Linked DNA regions of Daphnia pulex. Each later gene encodes a partner of the first gene's protein in a complex. Links are inferred from orthologs where the notes say so. Each region holds a gene or a part of one and is shown on either strand. Other genes may lie near its edges.

Region 1 (3,569 bases):
GCTTCCAGCGCTCGATCAACCACTCGTCGATAAAATTGGTAAGCCAGTAGAGTATAACCTGATGGGATTCCACCTGCGAATCCTTTCGCCCCGAAAAAACCATTGGCCTATTGGGAATAAATCAATCAAATTAAATGGGAGAACGTTTGTTTGAATGGTGATAGGGGCTTACCAGAGGATGTGCCATGAGAATGTGAACATTTGGCTGGGACGCTTCTAGCAAACTATCCATATAGTCCTGAGTCAGGTTGAAGTACCCGGTTGCTAGACATAATTCGGCGTTTGCCGGTACGTTTTCTAGAATCTCGCGCGTCAAGATGTTATCCATGTAAATGTTTAGCTGCCCCATCTGGACGAAAGGGAAGATCCAGGTGTCGTAAGCAGACGGATTCGGCCATTGAAATATCGAGGACGAAACATTTGCTTTTATTTGCTTTTCAAACAAGTTGTTGATTCTCCGTTTTGCTTCTTCTGTAAATTCAAGCCGATTGGATTCAAACGGATGGTGAGGAAAAGCGGAATTCAAGTTAAGGCAGTTGTTTTCACTTAAATGAAATGAAAACTGGCACACAGTTTCTACTAGTTGGTCAAAGAAATCCACTAAATCTTTGCAATCTTCCATAATTATGTATCGATCTTGCCGATTTGTGAAGTAATCGTGGCTTAAATTTGCGCCACTGATTAATAAGGAATCGTCAAATATGTAAATCTTCATATGTTGCAAGCCAATAATTTCATTCCATCTTTCTGGGAGAATTTTCTTTAATAATCCTCTAAGTGCTGGAGTGTGATAAAAATGGACTGAACACTGCTGGCTGTAGGACTGAACTAAGGGAAGCAGCATTGTACGGGAATTGAATTGGGCACCTCTAGAGCCTCTTGTTGCATCCAACAGAATTCGAACTTTCAGGCTGGAGCCAGAGTTTTTCTTCAAAGTACTTTCAATTGTTTTTACAAGCTCATTTTCATGATTTCCTGTTCCAAGATATAAGGATGCAAAAGTGACTCTTTGACTTGCTTGACTAGTCTTTTCAATAAGTGTTTTGTAGAAATCTTCAGGATCAGACAAAACTCGAACCTAAGAAAAAATTTTACAACTATTACTAGAAGACACTAATAAAATACCTTATTAGAACACTAACCTTATTTCCGTTCACAGGGAAACAAGGGGTTTTACTTCCGAGCCATCTGAAATTTTCAAGGGTCGTTAACAGTTCCGTTCTCTGCTGTTCATCACTGTCGGGTTCCATTTCGGGACGATGCTGGAGATGAAGTGATCTCGAGACAAGGTTACGTTGCCAACCTCTGCGAGCAGTCTTGGGAAGGAAGTGCCAAGATACTCGTTGTCGCCCAGCAACGCATATCGTTGTTGAAAAAAGTATTGCTTTTTGGCAAATTAGTGACATTTACTTGTACGGACGAATGAAATGAATCGGCATATAAACAAACAGACATCTGATGGCAAAAATTAATACTAATGTGATTCGCGCAATGTTTTATTTGATTCGTTAAAAAAATTTCAGTTGACTTTATATTTTCCATTTCGAACATAAGTTAATTAGTCGATTTAAATTGCACAATATCATTTTGACAAGAATATCCACAAATATTTATATTCTTAAATATTTTGATATCGCCATAGCTTAGGCAACGTAGCAGCATGGTATAGCAGAACACGATGAATTATTGTCATTTTCAAGTGTGCTGTTGTTTCCTTTTTTTTGAACTTGATACATTAGGATAATTAAAACCAAAAGAATGGTAGACATTCGCCTTGCTTCTGAAGTGCCTCCTTTTCATATCGTCGCTGATTCTACTGAACCCAAACATCTTGTCACACCTGGCTCTTTGATCACAAAGGAAACAGGATTCATGAGGTAGATTGTTAAAAGTTTTGCCATTTTCTTGATGATAATCTTATTTTATGTTTTGCTAAGGGGTCATGGAACATACATGCAAGATGACTGTTTGTACTCCAGTGTTGCTGGAGTTGTGGAGAGAGTCAACCAACTTATTTCAGTTAGACCCTTGAAATCTCGTTATCATGGGGAGATTGGAGATGTCGTAATTGGTAGGGTTACTGAGGTTTCACAGAAACGTTGGAAACTGGACACCAATGCAAGATTAGATTCAGTGCTTCTTCTTCAGTCAGTCAATTTGCCTGGTGGTGAACTCGTAAGAAAGACTTTTTATTTGTGCAATTACACAAATATTTATATCTCATAATGCTTTTAGAGAAGAAGATCAGCAGAAGATGAATTAGCCATGAGGCAATACCTGAAAGAAGGAGATTTGGTCAGTGCAGAGGTTCAAAACATCTTCAATGATGGAGCTCTTTCTTTACACACCCGCAGCATGAAATATGGAAAAGTATAACAATAAGTTATTTAAAATATTAACTGTAATAACAACCATTTATCTGTTATAGCTTTCCCAAGGTTGCCTAATAAAAGTTAGTCCATCTTTGATCCGAAGACAGAAGACTCATTTCCACAACTTGCCTTGCGGAGCAAGTATCATTATGGGTAACAATGGATTTGTTTGGATCTGCCCTACGCTCCTTGACGATGGCGCCGGTGGATTTGTTCAAAACTTGGAGGTGCGTACTAAAAAGTCGATGTTTGTACATTATCACGTGGAAGCTAATTCTGTTGAAACCTATAGACAGTTCCGCATGCCGATCGACAAGCTATAAGCCGGTTAAGGAATTGTGTGACAGCTTTGGCGCACTGCAAGATGATGATCTATGATACCAGCATTATGCATGCCTACGAAGCCTCCGTAAATGCTGGGCTTGAGGTAATTATTTTTACATTGAAACTAAATAATTCAATGCTAACTTATATAATGCTTTTATGTAGATCAAGGATCTTCTCCTACCGGACAAGATAAAAGAAATCGCTTTAATGGTTCGTAAGCAGTTCGAAATGGAAAAAGAATAATTTAATTTTCGAATAAACATGGCTCAGGCTGAACCAGAAGTTGACATTCGATTTCCCAAACATTAATGGTGTGGATCAGTTTATTCATACTGCAGACAAAGTTTTATTCTGGGGCAGGGAAAAACATAAACGAAGAAACATTCGATAATAAAGGCGGTTTTTTTTTGTTTCCAACTACAACCGGTTTCCCAAGAATATTAAAATTTTGTAGACTTCATTTATAAGTCATCCCCCCCACAAATCATATTTACATTAAAACAAGTGTGCTAGAGAAAACCAGGATAAGATCTGCCGTAAGCACCACTCAACAAAATGCCCTGGGCTAGTTTTGAAACACCTAAAAAGATTATATAGGATAATAAATTACTAATGGACCCCGTTCCCTAGGTCCACCAAGGAAGGAAAAAAAAAAGATTTAACCGGAAGTCATGTTAAAGCGCTGCTTTAACAAATCAAGCAAATAATAATTAACAAAAAAAAAAAATAATGATAAATAGAAACAATGAATATCTAGCGAAATTCCGTGACGACGAATGGATAACGATTATGTTTAGGAGGGCTTCACGATTGGAAAATGTCCCGTGTTTTTAGATATTAGGATTCCACCTTGATTAGATGGGTTTGTAA
Region 2 (3,321 bases), on another chromosome or scaffold:
GTTTCATCAAATATTTGACATGTCAATGCACAAGACATTTTTCCTTCCATCTCAATCATCCTAAATCCAATATCGCAACGTGGCTGCTGAAGAAATCGATTGGCCCCCTCTTGAAAAGAGATTATTTCTAATCATCCAACCTTATTGATCATTTAAAGCAGGATTGTGTCAACAGTTCCCAGTGGAAGTGGATGGGAAAATATGGAGAAAAATTCCGAATACAACAGCTTAGCAACTTAAAAGGCAAAAATATACACGGCAAACACACTTAAGCAACGACAGTGATGACGTAATATAATCAAAACAAAAAAGCTCTCTGGTTACTACAATAAAGGCGTTGTCAGGTGTATAGTGATGCATGGACGTGGAGGTAATTGGATCGGCGTGTAATGTTCAAAAACACTTACCCGTTGATTAATAAAGTTGCAGGCCAAATCTTTGAGCGTTTTCAGCGTTAACTGGGAGGCATCCGTGGAGATAAAGTCTCGTACCAGTCCAACTTGGAACATAAAGGTCACCTGACCATTACCATCATCCATGATGGAGCTTGGATCCAAAATTTTATGAAAAACACAATCACAATTATGGCGAAGTTTGACTTTTGGATGGCAGTGAAATTCGCACACACACAAAACTGGCCCTTTTTCGTTGGAATAGTCTGTGTGGTTGGTGTGTGTGTGTGCAATCAGGTGGGAGCAATGGAGTAAAAAAAAAAAAAAAACGGGTTCCAGCAACCAACAGGTTGATTGGAATGTCACATAGCCTCGGGCTGAGATCACCTTTTCTTTCGTCGTTCTCCCGCCCTGGCACCACTTAGATTTTTCCTTTTCTTTCTTCTTCAAAGAAAAAAGGTTGGGTTTTTACCTCCACTTGATTGCACGACAAAACTGAGCAACACGACTGTTTTAAAACCAACACAGATGGGAGCAGCACAACGCGTGATAACACGTTGGTGATGAAAAAAGTCGGTGCGAATAAGAGGGACTGGCTAATGGAAATGCCCAAACTAAATTCAATTAATACGCAGGTTTCCCAATCATGATGGCACACACAAAAAATTCACGTATAAACATCACACACACACACACACACACTAGCACACTTTACGTTCTCTCGAGAAATGCAGAAACAGACTCACGTACGTGTGTGTGTGTGTTTCTGACCGTGCAGCTCAAGTCACGATAACTTGGTAGTCTGCCGAGCTAATAAATACTGTCGCTACTCGGAGATCCGTCTTTGGCTTGCTCACAATTTTCTGGCCAAAAACAGCGTTGCCATTCTCTCGTGACTGAACGAACGAAATCCATGAAAAATACATATTCATAGCTACATTGGAAAATTGTGAATTTTTCAGGTCTTCTTTATTACAAATATAATAGTTGTTTTAAATTCATGGAGTTAAAAGTTATATTTTGTGTGATTAAGTAAATGGTTGCCATGGTAACTTAGAGACATCTGCAGACTGCTGTTGCCGACCCGTCAACCCCATGTATTTTTTACGATCACGTTGCTTATGCAGAAACAGGGCTGCGTTCTTAATCTGAATTATTGAATACTTTTTCAATCACAAAGAATTGCTTGCAATATTATTATTCGCCATGGAGACTGAAGAGAATAGCATTCGTGCTTTAAAGTGCGAACAAAGCGTACTGTCACGTGCAGATGGCTCGGTGATGTTTTCTCAAGGTAAGTTTAGATTTGTAACTTTTTCCACGCTGTTTTCGTGTTATTTTGTCCAAGTCGGTAAATTTTATTTTATTGACTTGTCATTTCAGGGAATACTGTGGTAATGGCTTCAGTTTATGGACCTTTGGAGGCTAAAATTCAAAAGGAACTGTCCGATAGAATGTACATTGAACTAAACTACAAGCCAAAAACAGGAATGCCAGGTTATTAATAACTTATCCTGTGTATTATTATTTCTGTAATATTGAATGCATTTTTATTTAGGTGTTGCTGAGCGTGGAAAGGAGAAACTCATCAAGACCACTTGTAATCACATTATTTTGACGAACCTGCACCCTCGAACAGCTGTCTGCATAACAGTTCAAGAAATGCAAGATGGTGGAACTGTAAGCACTTACCACAACAAATTTATTTTGATCAAGAATTAGTTGTTCACATTTTCCATAAACTAGTTGCTAGCAGCCTCCATCAATGCTGTGTGCCTTGCACTTCTTGACTCGGGTTTACCCCTGCAGTGTCTTGTAGCTGCAGTGACTTGTTTGGTAGACAAGAAGGATAGAATTGTCCTAGACCCATGCATCAGCACAGTCAAAGTATGATTTCCACTAAGAATTAACTAATTTTTTTCCCCCATTTTTTGTTGTTGTGCCTAACTTACTTTTTTCCCCATTACAGGAAGGTTATAAAGCAATGTTTACCTTTGCTTTTGACAGTCAAAAATACAACTTAATTCTGAGCCACTGTGAAGGCCAAGTTCCCTATCAACTTTTTCAAAAAGCCATGGAGCTGTGTCAGAAAGCCAGTCACGTCATCTTTGATTTCTACCGGCAAGCAGTACTACGAAAGTTTTCCAACGAACTTCTGTAAAACTTTCAAAAAATACACATTTTAAAGTTTTGTATATGCGACTGAAAACAAAGTATAATTGTATAAGTATAGGCTTGCTTATTTCCAGTATCGTTAAATTTCTTCGGAAAACCAATCCATCCTAATATGTCATGCGCATCTAGCAATACTCGAGTAATCACGTTCACCAAAACTATATCTAGAAGGTTTCCTGCCCGGAGCTTGGCTCCAATGCAATGCGGTACAATTTTGACACAAGTTATTTAGGTATAGTAAAAGTGCCGATTGTGAAATCAGAAAAAAAATAAACTTAACTTTGAAACAAACTCTTCTTAGAATGACATATGGTAGGTAGTTCTACCATTTTTAGGATTTATTCGGTCGGAAAATGTAGCATAAAGGAATTTCTTTTATGGTTATTCTGAAAATTTATTTCAAGGTGGTCTGGATATATCGAGTGCGATTTCAGCCTTTACGGTAATAGGCCTTGAAATGTTTTTCTCAATTAGAAAGTTTAGCCAATTAGGCTGTCAAGTCAAAGTCAACACAAATAAAGCAATTCTAAATTTAAGTCATGTATCACCTGATTCCAGTTTCGAGTTATTTTCCGATTGTTCCATTTCAGTAGCAATCGTAATCATGATTGTGGCTAAGTAAACGTTATCTTGTGTGTGGTGTCCATTATTAGACAAAAGAATCTAAATTGGTCAGAACACTTTGAAGAGATTAGAAATTATTAGTTGATTGTCAAAATGACTCAAATAATTTAGAAAGTGTCACTGCTTCGTT

What was found.
Region 2: exosome complex component RRP4-like (region 1) and exosome complex component RRP46-like share a complex: the UniProt entries of both Caenorhabditis elegans proteins name them as parts of the RNA exosome complex. The link is inferred for Daphnia pulex from reciprocal best matches to the Caenorhabditis elegans genes exos-2 and crn-5.

What each region holds. Positions count from the first base shown.
Region 1 is NC_060023.1:8,701,317-8,704,885, reverse strand, and holds exosome complex component RRP4-like, read left to right. Parts: upstream 1-1,644; 5' UTR 1,645-1,758; coding exon 1,759-1,877; intron 1,878-1,937; coding exon 1,938-2,175; intron 2,176-2,235; coding exon 2,236-2,370; intron 2,371-2,428; coding exon 2,429-2,599; intron 2,600-2,664; coding exon 2,665-2,799; intron 2,800-2,861; coding exon 2,862-2,942; 3' UTR 2,943-2,975; downstream 2,976-3,569. Other genes in the region: CDP-diacylglycerol--glycerol-3-phosphate 3-phosphatidyltransferase, mitochondrial-like, read right to left, coding at 1-107, 173-1,078, 1,143-1,406. UniProt on the Caenorhabditis elegans protein: Non-catalytic component of the RNA exosome complex which has 3'->5' exoribonuclease activity and participates in a multitude of cellular RNA processing and degradation events. Involved in regulation of antisense ribosomal siRNA production.
Region 2 is NC_060020.1:3,912,618-3,915,938, forward strand, and holds exosome complex component RRP46-like, read left to right. Parts: upstream 1-1,449; 5' UTR 1,450-1,598; coding exon 1,599-1,686; intron 1,687-1,775; coding exon 1,776-1,889; intron 1,890-1,950; coding exon 1,951-2,072; intron 2,073-2,138; coding exon 2,139-2,279; intron 2,280-2,361; coding exon 2,362-2,553; 3' UTR 2,554-2,587; downstream 2,588-3,321. Other genes in the region: serine/threonine-protein kinase D1-like, read right to left, coding at 408-539. UniProt on the Caenorhabditis elegans protein: Non-catalytic component of the RNA exosome complex which has 3'->5' exoribonuclease activity and participates in a multitude of cellular RNA processing and degradation events. Involved in apoptotic DNA degradation.